Kluyveromyces lactis: one gene and its partners. The protein of the gene in region 1 purifies or fractionates together with the protein of each later gene. This does not show direct contact. Links are inferred from orthologs where the notes say so. Each region holds a gene or a part of one and is shown in the gene's direction. Other genes may lie near its edges. The genes, in order: APL4, APM1 and LAA1.

What was found.
Region 2: the proteins of APL4 (region 1) and APM1 purify together in Saccharomyces cerevisiae (affinity purification with mass spectrometry; 5 studies listed by BioGRID). This does not show direct contact. The link is inferred for Kluyveromyces lactis from reciprocal best matches to the Saccharomyces cerevisiae genes APL4 and APM1.
Region 3: the proteins of APL4 (region 1) and LAA1 purify together in Saccharomyces cerevisiae (affinity purification with western blotting; 3 studies listed by BioGRID, with this or other methods). This does not show direct contact. The link is inferred for Kluyveromyces lactis from reciprocal best matches to the Saccharomyces cerevisiae genes APL4 and LAA1.

What each region holds. Positions count from the first base shown.
Region 1 is NC_006041.1:592,823-597,252, forward strand, and holds APL4 (AP-1 complex subunit gamma), read left to right. Parts: upstream 1-1,538; coding exon 1,539-3,941; downstream 3,942-4,430. Other genes in the region: ECM21 (Ecm21p), read right to left, coding at 1-963; YOP1 (Yop1p), read right to left, coding at 4,120-4,430. UniProt on the Saccharomyces cerevisiae protein: Adaptins are components of the adapter complexes which link clathrin to receptors in coated vesicles. Clathrin-associated protein complexes are believed to interact with the cytoplasmic tails of membrane proteins, leading to their selection and concentration.
Region 2 is NC_006040.1:1,215,052-1,218,535, forward strand, and holds APM1 (Apm1p), read left to right. Parts: upstream 1-1,522; coding exon 1,523-2,854; downstream 2,855-3,484. Other genes in the region: KLLA0_D14201g (2-isopropylmalate synthase), read left to right, coding at 1-27; telomerase subunit EST3, read left to right, coding at 678-1,232; thioredoxin peroxidase DOT5, read right to left, coding at 3,097-3,484. UniProt on the Saccharomyces cerevisiae protein: Component of the adaptor complexes which link clathrin to receptors in coated vesicles. Clathrin-associated protein complexes are believed to interact with the cytoplasmic tails of membrane proteins, leading to their selection and concentration.
Region 3 is NC_006039.1:283,736-288,007, reverse strand, and holds the start of LAA1 (AP-1 complex accessory protein LAA1), read left to right. Parts: upstream 1-1,320; coding exon 1,321-4,272. Other genes in the region: KLLA0_C03201g (uncharacterized protein), read left to right, coding at 1-1,035. UniProt on the Saccharomyces cerevisiae protein: Involved in localization of clathrin adapter protein complex-1 (AP-1) and subsequent AP-1-mediated clathrin-coated vesicle cargo loading.

The sequences.
Region 1 (4,430 bases):
TGAGAACTCAGAAGGATCCCTGGTAGCTAAACGTTCTAACGCATCACCAAATGCACCATCATCATCATCATCATTAAGTCTGCTCAAATGATTTAAGTATTCATCGTCAGTTGGCGAGATAGTAGGTAAAAATATGTTATCACCGGAAGTGGCAACGTGGAAGGTAACACCATTCTTCGAAGAAAGAAGTCTTGGTCTTAATAATCCACGGTCAGCCAAGTAATTTAGCAAACACGTTTTGGCAGTTTTTTTCCTGTTCACGACGGTGTTGCTGATCTGCGAACCAGTCGCACTGAAAGCGGTCGATACCCTTGTAATCCTCCTGCCCAAACAATTCTCCTCAAAGTCATCATCATCACCTTCATCATCTCCATCGTTTTCATTGTCTGGACCGTCATATTCATCATCATCTTCATCATCGCTTACCACAGAGAAAGGTCCACCACGTTCGTCATCATTAGACATTCTACGATTAGGCTGACTCTGAAATCTGCTCGGTTGTAAAGATGATGTGTAGATGTCATTGCCTAGGTCTCCATCAGAATCGTTGCCTCCAAGGCTATAATCCAACAGACTGCTATCTCCTTGATCCTCGTCAATTTCGTTATCAGTTCCTTCTTCCGAAGACATCGCTAATTCGTTCTGTGGGGCTCCGTAATCTTGATATCCATAGATAGAATACGGCGTTCCAAAGGCCATCATCGGACTGAATCCTGCAGGCATAGCAGAAGTGCCATATGCGCCACTGGGCCGTCTGGAAGATGCCCTACGAGCGCTATTAGAGCTTGGTACACTTGCGGAACGTCCATTACTGTTTGACCTTGAAAGGGTAGAACCACTACTTTTTGACCCGCTAGCTCCTAAGATGGATGCAAATGCTTGCTTGATTGACGAAGATCTTTTCCTATTCCCATCCTTCTGCTTTCCAGAGGACGACCCCAGATGTGAACTGAAAAATGACATTATCTTCCAACCGTCGTGGACCTGTAAAATCTCAGCTTATCTCTCAAAAGGGTTTGGTTACTTACCTTGGATGCAAAAAGAACCAAATGATCAATAAATAAATAACTTTAAAAGTGACCAAAGTGTGAAGTTCTTGTTTAGGAAAAACCACAATACTATATGTATTCGCTAACCCACTAAGCTGAATAGATTAGACTTTGCTCTCCCTGCTGAAACATCGGATTATATTTATGTTAATCATCAGCCTACTTAGTTGGTATGAACTATTTACATTTCAGATTTGAAGGGTTCTTTTTCATTAAAAACTTCCTTGGGCCCAGAAATCAGGTTTGGGGGCCATAAATAATTTCCATGATTTCGAAATCTGGAAAGGACAGTTCTATAAACAAGAATAGCTATAAATACATGTAACGTATACTGGGCTTGACAACTGAGAACAGCGTACACGGTATCTGTAACTTTTGCAATTAACGCTGGGAGTGTGCGTGCGTGTGGTGTTTTCAACTATAAGTTGTATATAGGTGCGCAAAGAGCTTTAGCAATTTTTTGTTTGTTGGGAAACATAAGTAGAAACAATGGGTTCATTGAGGACTTTCATTAAGGAAGTCAGGGCCGCGAAAACGTTGGCTGAAGAAAGGTCAATCGTTACCAAGGAATCAGCAAGGATCAGGACCAAGTTGAAGGATGATCATATTTCACTGGAAAGGAGAAGGAAGTACATTAACAAGCTGTTATATTTGTATATCTTGGGAGAAAAGACACATTTTGCCCAGGTAGAGTGTATAAACTTAATTGCTTCTGAAGACTTCGCCGATAAGAGAGTTGGATATCTTGCTGCAGTTTTGTTATTGGATGAGAATCAGGAATTGTTGACTCTTTTGACCAATCTTTTGAATAACGATTTGAATCATCCATCGAGATATGTGGTTTCGTTAGCAATCAACGCATTGGGCGCTTTGACTTCTCCAGAGTTGGCTCGTGATTTGTATACCGATATCAAAAATATTCTAGAGCATTCCAGGGACAGTTTTCTGATCAAAAAGGCGTTGGCATGCTCTGGAAAACTTATTGCGAGGGATCCATCCCTTTTGGAAATTTTCGCTCCTTACGCTAACAAGATGCTTTCGAGTAAAGAATCTACTAGCCATGGTGTTCTAATTGGTACCAACAAATTGATCCAGGCAATCATCATCAATACCAAATCGTACGAATTTGATAATCTACCAGAGATCATTGATAAACTATCCTCCTTGATACCTGATCTCTTAGGAAAACTACACCATTTGAATTTAGGATCGTCCAACCCAGAATATAACGTTGGCGGTTGTCTCGATCCATTTTTACAAGTCGAACTCATGACTACATTACGTTTGTTCTTGCAGTACTTCCCTGAGCAAACTAAGCCTTACAAGAATAACTACTTGGATACATTGACCCGAGTTGCAACTTACACTCCAACTACTTCGAATAGTTGTACTTCAGTCTTATACGAGGCAGTGCGCACTATTTTTTCATTCCAAGCAGAGCGCTCCTTGAGAGTACTAGGTGTCAACGTGTTGGGTAATCTAGTTGCAGACAAGGATTACAACACAAAATATGTTTCATTAAACGCATTGTTAGATGTTGTTTCGGTAGAGCCACAGGCGGTCCAAAGGCATAGAAAGTTTATCTCACGTTGTATCTTTGATTCTGATATTTCAATCAAAAAGAGGGCTCTTGAGATGACGTTCGCAATTTTAAACCAAACAAATATGAGGGAATTGATCGCAGAGATTCTTACGTTCTTAGAAAAAGCAGGAGAAAACGATAAAGGACTAATATTGTACTGTGTAGATCAACTTATAATGGTTTTCGATCTTCAAGATGAAATAGATGATTCCTGGAAACTGGATGTCATAGTTAAAATATTGAAATTTGTTGGCCAATATATTTCAGTTGAGAAGACTACTGATGCATTAATTATGATTAACAATAATTCGAACCTGGAACATAAGAAGCAAGTGGTTTCTAACATTATCAACGTAGCATTGGATAATGACTCTAGCCAAGTCTCAGACGAAAATTTAGCATGGAGAGTTGTCTCGATTTGGTGCATCGGTGAATACGCTGATCTGATTTTAGGTAATGGCAGATGCACAGAAACAAATTTAACAGGTTACTTATATGAATCCGATAGCTTGTACTGTGATAACCCTATGGTAACAAGCTATGTTTTGCTGGCTGCTTTGAAGCTATCTGTAAAGATTGATACAAAAGTGCTATCCAATAGATTGAGGCAGTTAATTAAAGGCCACACGGAAAACACCAACGTCATGATTCAAACAAAGGCTGTCCAGTATGGAATATTATTCAATGAGTCTACAAGTGTTAAAGCTGCGTTACTTGAACCAATGCCCATTTTCCATAAAAAGGTCTCAGAGACTGCTGCATTAAGAACCTTCTCTCAGAAAGTACCTGCACCAGCTATTAAGAAAGTGAAAAAGAAGGAAAATGATCTTCTTCTAGATTTACTAGGAGATCTCTCTACTCCAGAAACTACTGCGCCTACAAAACCTTCTAATGATCTATTATCTAACTTGAGCAATACTCCAGCACCCCAATCATCAAATCAAAATGGGTCAACTTTATCATCATCCTTCCAACAACGCATAGAAATACCACCAAACTCTATCAATATCCACTCATCTGATATTGTTGAAGTTTATGGTAAAGTAGAATCGTCAATCCCCGGTTGTACTGAAATAGACCTATTCTTGAAAGCTAAAACGAATATTAATACCTTACAGATCCTAATCGCTGTTCCTAAATCACAGAAGGCAGAATTCGGATCTCTGTCAAGCCACAAGGTAGCTACAGGTGAAGTAGCTAAGCAGGGTCTTAAAATTCTAGGATCTGGGAAAATCAAGCTAAGGGTCAAATTGAATATCAACTCCACCGAGGATCAATTCGATTATAAATTTGAAAACATCCCCCATTAACGAGCGTTAAAGATGCCTTAAAGTAATATTGTGTAAACTATAAAACGATATAACAATCACATCATGTAGATAAGGGATCTATGTCGATAAACACCGGTACGAGTTCACATTTCCGCAATCAAATAAGCGAACTCAAAAGAAAATTGGACCAGAGGGTGATTTTTCAACTAAGAAGAATTTAACGGGAGTATCCAGAAGCCTTAGCGTTGTTGGCAGCAGCTTCGACTTTCTGGGCCAGTTCTCCCGATTTCCCTTCCACGATAGGTAGGTATTTGTCAGAGAATGGTGAAATCAACCTCGTGTAAACAAGTTGGGCACCGCCGAATGATGGAATGGCAATGTACAGTAAGAAAACAGTCTTAAAGAACCAGTAGAATGGAACCCAGTACAAAATAGCCTTGGACCAGAACTCGATCACAGACAAAAACGAAAAAACAATCCAATAAGTTAACAATTGTGTGTCATCCGTTGATGTGGCAGTCTTCAATG
Region 2 (3,484 bases), on another chromosome or scaffold:
TTCACTGTCAATTCAGCTGCCAATTGATCTACCCATGCGGTATGGAAATAAACGCCATCATATCTGAACTATATATATATATATATAAATCAATGAGATATACCGATATTTATTTCAATAATGAAACATGAACAAAAGCTTCCAAAGGCATTCCCATGTTTCTTCTATTATGGCCATGCTCGTGGGTAAAGCATATTTACCAGAACCTATTGTGTCATCTGTGGCCCCTTTTACATGACAAAAGTAAGTCGGTTATATTCTATTCTTGTCGTAAATGTTTCAAGAATGAAGCGGTGGCTCAATGGTAGAGCTTTCGACTCCAGTTAAATTCTGGGAATTTTCCAAGGAAACAAAATTGCAATCGAAGGGTTGCAGGTTCAATTCCTGTCCGTTTCATTTTTTAACATTTTTGCATAGCTAGTCACATGACTACTTTTGCCACGTGGATTATGATTTTGTCCAATAAACTCTCATCGAATTTACTATTCCGCGATAGTTTAATGGTTAGAATTCGCGCTTGTCGCGTGCGAGATCGGGGTTCAATTCCCCGTCGCGGAGGAATTTTTTTACATTTTTGTATCAAGGTACAATCTCATCCTAAAACCCATTGTAGTACAGAAACAGAGAAGCATTATTAACATACACTGAACAGAGACTCTAACCTTATCAATCCTCACATGCCCAATGTTGTACTTTCTTCAAGATTAACGAATAATGATTCAGTGTTCTTGCAGGAATGGATTAAACCTTCGGTAAGGCCTTATTATTTAAAGAATGAAAAGACGAAATTCTGGCCAGAACAACGTGAACTGGTAACGGACTTACTAGAACATGATATCATAGAGTCAGCTTTCCAAACGGCTTTGAATCCCGCACCTCAGAGGTTCGTCAGAATTGTTAAATTCCATAGAGTAAACGATTACACCGTTTATGCAACGATTAGAGACTCTACAGCATTAATTCTATGCTACTTCACTGTAGACTGCGTGCTAGATTACGAAACTATAAACAATGATAGGATCACATTGAATACACTGAATACGTTGTTCGTCATCGGCAATGTAACCCTACAGTTTTGGAACCACAGAGAGTGCAAATTATGGTTCAATCAGGATTTTCCTGGACTTCGAATGGTCCCCGTGCTCAAGATTGAAAAGGCCCGGATGTTTGACAGAGACCAGATCTCGTCCAATGTCCAATTTGAATGGGTATATGACACACTTCATGGTTGAAGGTCTCTCTTGCCGAGTGTTCGCATTGTTAGATGCAATTTAGCACCTCGTGTATGTGGTGTACCGCTGTAAATAAGTGAAATTTCGGTATCCAAAGCATTGAAATCTCGAAACTACATTTATAAATAGTGTCTGAACAATGAACAATCTAAGTAATAGCCAAACCGTACACTAATATATCGGTATAGGACCCTGTATAGTAACCAATTGTGCAGTATCACTAGTGTGTTTTTTGCTCTTTCTTTGGTGGAGTTTCAGGAGGCAACATTTCTTAAAAAGATACCAGTATAATGGCTTCGTACGTTGCATTTTGTGATTCAAAGGGTAAGCCACTACTCTCGAGAAGATACCAAGATGATGTCTCACAGTCTGCTGTCGAATCGTTCCAGCATTTGTTACTAGAAAGAGAACAGGAAAGCAGTGTCATGCCTCCTTGTTTCCATCACAATGGGATTCACTACATGTACGTGCAGTATAACGATGTTTACGTGCTAGCATTGACCAGGTCAGTATCCGTTAATGCTACCACTATGTTCGCCTTCATGTACAAGTTGATCAATGTAGTTGAGGAGTACGTGAAAAGGGTGGAAGAAGAGTCAATCAGAGATAATTATATTATCATATACGAACTTTTAGACGAAATGATGGATAAAGGCGTTCCGCAAGTGACAGAAACGAAAATGTTGAAACAGTATATTACTCAGAAGTCATTCAAATTGACTAGGTCAGCGAAGAAGCAAAAGAATGTGGCTAGACCACCAACCGAATTGACCAATTCTGTCAGTTGGAGACCAGAGGGTATCAAGTACAAGAAGAACGAAGCGTTCTTGGATGTAATCGAATCGATCAATATGCTAATGACACAGCAGGGCCAAGTATTAAGATCTGAGATCTTGGGTACTGTCAAAGTTAGATCCCGTTTATCTGGTATGCCTGATTTGAAATTGGGTTTGAATGATAAAGGTATTTTCACAACTAATGATCAAGAAGATTCACCTGAACCTGTAGTTTCTTCGAAGAAAAAGAATAGTAATATAGAACTTGAGGATCTAAAATTCCATCAATGTGTGAGATTGAGCAAGTTTGAGAATGAAAAGATTATCACGTTCATCCCACCTGATGGGGAATTTGATCTAATGACTTATAGACTCTCTACCCCGATCAAACCTTTGATATGGTGTGACGTTAAGGTACAGGTACATTCAGGGTCTCGTATCGAGATTCACTGTAGGGCAAAGGCACAAATTAAAAAGAAGTCAGTAGCGAATAATGTGGAGATTTTAATACCGATTCCGGAAGACGCAGATTCGCCCACGTTCAAATATTCTCGTGGTAATATCAAGTGGGTTCCTGAAAAGAATGCAATTCTATGGAAATTTAGTAGTTTCCAAGGTGGTAAAGAGTACTCAATGGCTGCGCAACTGGGGTTGCCCTCAGTCTCTGATGCTGAACCACCAAAATTAAAAAGACCAGTACAAATCAAATTCCAAATTCCTTATTTCACAACATCCGGTATTCAAGTTCGTTATTTGAAAATCGAAGAACCAAAGCTACAGTATAATAGTTATCCTTGGGTACGTTACATTACGCAGAGCGGAGACGATTACACCATCAGGCTGTGAAAGTGACCATGATTTGAAGAATTTCTGGCCATCCTACTCTAATCTATCAGTGCTTATATGAGGAGAAAGATTCATTTGCAATTAAAAATGAAACGCCCTTGAGAGAAACGCTACTCAATCTGATCTTATGTGTGTATATAGTAATATAAATCTTTTTCCATTCTCAATTATGTTTAAATCCTTTGACATTTACTATTACATATGAGAAATCGATCGTCAGTAACTATGTTAGCCACTGGGTTTTATAAAGACTTGGCCAATTCTAAAACCTCTTTCTTACCTTCTTCAATACTGACCTCAGGTGAAACTTGAACCCTCTTCACTTCTAGTTTACCGTTCTTGAAGATCCAGTGAGATCTGACAACACCAGAAACAGCTGTCTTCTTAGCACCCAAAGCTCCGATAAATTCACGTTTAGGGTCGCTTAATAGATCAAAAGGCAAGGCTTGCTTAGTTTGGAAACTCTTCTGAGACTTTGGAGCGTCAGCACTTAGTCCAAAAACAGCAGCGTGTTCCTTCAATTCGCTATAATTGTCTCTGTAGCCACACGCTTGTCTAGTACAACCAGGTGTACTGGCCTTTGGATAAGCAAAGAACACCACTAATTTATTCTTGGAGGCAACTTCTTTC
Region 3 (4,272 bases), on another chromosome or scaffold:
TTGCTTGAACAAGAAACGATTAAAAAATTATTTTGGACAATTTATAAAACTGACATCTATATGAATTGTATTTTGGGACTTCCAAATTCTCTAGATGAATCTCTCATAGACCAGGAATTTCCTTCTGATATTGATGACGACAGAATTTTAGAAAATAGACTTTTAGTGCAGCCTTCAGGGAAGCTCAGCTCTGTTGGTATGAATAACGAGCACACAAAACTAATTTTGATAATGAATAATGCCCATAAAATTCTTTATCCAATGTCTTTGACTGTTACTTCTATTTCACATAGTGAGATTAGCAAGTTAGAAGGTGAATTGTCCAACTGGCTTGAGAGATTACCGTTTCAGTTGAAACCAGAATTTTCCCCCACTTCAGAAAAACTTGCACCATATCTTAAACCTAATCGCTATTTGCATCTTGATTATCTTCATGCTGAAATTATGCTATATCGACCATTTATACACTATCTTGTTTTAGATAGTGAGGAATTCCCCAATTATCAGTTTCATATTCATATGGCCAATAAGTGCATAAATACAGCTCGTAAAGTTATTCGATTGGCTGTAGAGATGGATCAACAGAAAGTTTTAAACGCCGTTTACTGGTTTTCCGTCCATACAATTTTTTTTAGTGTTGCGTGCTTATTATATTTCATGCATCAAATGAAATTGAAAGGGTGTAATCTAAGTAGTCCTAACACCGAAAAGGACTGCAGAGATGGTTTTAACTTACTGTTGCAATTAAAGAATGTTTCCCTGGCATCTAGTAAAACTTTCGAGGTTCTAAAATCTTTATTCGAGAAATTAAACCAAAAAACTATGGAATTATCCGATACAGTGTTACCCAACATTATTGCTAAACAAAAGGAACATGAACTGGAAGCTTTTACCAAAATATCCGACCTCTTTATGGAGAATGAAATTGATGAGAATTTACTGGAATATCAAAATGTCGCATTGCCTGACCCAACCGAATTTGATAATGACTTTTTGAATAAAATTTTGAGTCAATTTTCATCAGATCTCAGTTGAATATTTCTATCGGTAGTATGTTCTTCTTTGGTGTTATGTGTATGTATGTATATGTATGTACTTCACTCTGTAAAAGGGTTATAATATTATGATTTTGAAAATTACCTTATAAGGTAACTAGGTTGTCGTTGAATTTAATCTATTTAAACTTTTTCTTTTTTTTTAGTCTGCCTTCTGGATATTTCACCAAAGATCTTCAGTTTAATATATATCAATTAATGGTAGGACACCTTTCCAATTCGACTGGTTGTCGTTTATCTGATTGAGTCAAATATATATATATTAATGGGAGATACATACGTTTCGCTTACTGAGCGCCTAGCATCGTCCGAAGGAAAAAGAGCCACCTTTATCAATTGGATCACCGAATCATTATCATGCAAAACCCTTAATACTGCGGATGTTCTTGATGATACTGTCGAGTTTCTACGAAGCATAATTGTGGCCGAAGACCGTGATGTGGTTGAATACGAATCCAAAGTGATCTCTTATCAGTTATCCAATCTATGTGTTCTATGCTTGAAGGATTTATATCAGGAAAAACCAGGAAAGGTGTATGATTTCGCTGGTTTTCTTTGTAACATTCTGTGCGAGAACTATGAAGAAGTTGTTCAAGGTCCTGCTCTTAAGAAGAGATTCAAGAAGCATAAAAGTACACACTTATATTCTGTTGTCAAAGATTATGCTATTACAATTTTGTGTCATTTATATGCTTGTTTTTCTGAAGATTTGCACTCTTTATCTGCTATGATTATTCCTGTATTATTCAAAGATCTTAAGAAGGTTTTAGAAAAACCTAAATACTTTAACTCGAATTATGCTATTTTTTTGATGAGGCTGTTCCAAACTATATCCATGTATAACAGTAACAATGCGATAGATGATCATTATCATCAGAAATATTTAAAACTGGTTAAGGATGTATTTTCTGATATTTCTGATGAAAGAGTTGATTACCCCTCTGATTTTGTTTCATCTTTGGTTGAGAATTTGACTGGTTACTTTGAGTCCAATTATTTTGTCAAAGCTCACAAAAATGACTTCTTGGACGTTATGCGTTCGAATATAAATTCAATTTTGACCGTCTGCGTTAAGTGTCCCAAATGGAGGATTGCTATCGCAGAATCGTTGGCTAAAATATTAGGCTACTATGTTTCCGTGGACTTGATGGAGCCTAAAGTCGCTTGTGAATTTTATGGTAATTTGTTTTGTTCTCTAAACTTTAAGGCGGGTAGGATTGCGATTCTGGAATCATTACATCAATTTATGTTTGTTAACTTCACCCGGAATACAAAGTTTTTGATGGGTGATAAGTACCTAAGTCTCTTTCAATGTTTTGTCGAATGCTTATGTCGTTGTGGTATAGTGATTTCTATTGAAGATATCGAGTTGTTTAACTTGGTCCATAACCAAACTCTGCCTTTTCTTACAGATTCAGCAAGGACATCAGTCATTGATGAAATTTTTAATGCTGCTGATAGGTACATTCTATCTGACAACCTAGAACAAACACAAAGTATACTAGGTTTATTAAGTGTTTTCTTCAGAGATCTGCCTGCTAATGTGATTGCTGACAGAGGGCTTGGAGAAAAGATTCAAGCTTCTCTTCTGAAAGTAAGTGCTGTTGAAAATCTAACTGTAAGGATAAATTCTGTCTATTGCTTGCAGTTATTTCTTCATAGCGTGCCATACAAAATTCCAGGTGTGGTTGATGAGCTATTGGAGAAACTTTCTTCTCAGTTTCAGATCGAGAAGGGTTTTAGTTTTGCAGGAAACCACGGAATATGCCTTCTGATAAGTTCTATCATTACTTCTCGTGATCCCGACTTTGTCTCATTCGATTTGATAATGCGAGTAACGGCTTTTGCAGTTGGTACTTTAAAATCTAACTCACTGAGTACCAAAAAAGTACTATATGAAAAGGAACTACTTTGTTGGATTCTATTGACCGGAGCTTTGTGTTTCCAAGACGAGAAGTATATCAAAACTCATTCTCCGCAATTGTTTATTTTTTGGCGAAACATTTTCACTCACTCGGCGGTTTATCATACCGAAGATGAACTTATGAAGAACATTGAAATTAGAAACCATGCTTTGTCTTGTATGATATCCTTTTTACGGTCAAGTGTTTTGAATGAAGAACTTTCTAAACAGGTTTTTTATTTAATTTCGAAATGTCTTAATTTTAAACACTCTGTGACTGCTGTTTCTGGTTCCATGAAAGAACTTTTGGCACGTTATGAACATCGGATGTATCAGGTTTTTCTTCTTATTTGTCCTTATGTTCATAAGGATGTTAGTACCTCGGCTCTATTACAGGCTTTGAAAAACTTTAGTAACCCAGTTAATTGTTTCGAGGATGGTTGTTTGCATGTGTCTGCTCCACAAAAAGCCGAAGAAGTTGCTCGTTTTCCCGCCGTCGGTAGGTTTTCTGATGTGTTAACTTGTAGTGAAAGTGCTGACTATGGAGTATCTACTTTCGTAAAATCTGTTCAGTCTTTTGGAACAAGCAAACCTTGTTTATTGGAGGAGGCATGGGAGAAACCTGTTGTAACTTCTAGGTCTTTTGATTATAATCATGTTATTCTTAATTTATCTCCACCTGTCCCATACTCTATTGCGTTGATTGACGTTTCATTGGAACTATTTTCTCTTTGTTTTCCTTTTACTAGTCAATCTGTTCAGCGTTCTTTGATAGAGACTCTAATTTCAAATGTTTTAACTAACTCCCATACTCGTCACAAGTATTCGGTGGTAAAGGCTAATGTTCTTTTTGCTATGTATATGGCATTAGTAGAAGTTGATAGGTGTAAGCTTGGAGTACATTGTACGATTGGTGAGCTAATAATTAATGTGTTGGACGAGTGTTCTTTTTCTGATGATGATATTTTATATGATTTGAAAGGACGCTGTTTTGGTTTTGTTTGTGCTGCAGTTAAACGTACTGGAGATGAAAAGTTTTCGAAAAGTTTAATCAATGTGTCAATTCAGAGGATTGTAAGTGATGTCAATCCTATATCTCGTGGGTTGAATCTTTTCATCATTTGTAATATTTTGAACGAGGATCCTGGATGTAGTGAATTTGCTGTTGTGTTAGATATTGTAAAAAAGTTCATTAGCGATCCTCATCCTGTTATTAATGTTAGTGGCCTGAAATGTTTGTTTGTTTTGTTGAAAAAGCATAATATTTGTGACATTCGTTTGGCAGGGGAGTTGTTGGAGCTGATATCTGTTAAT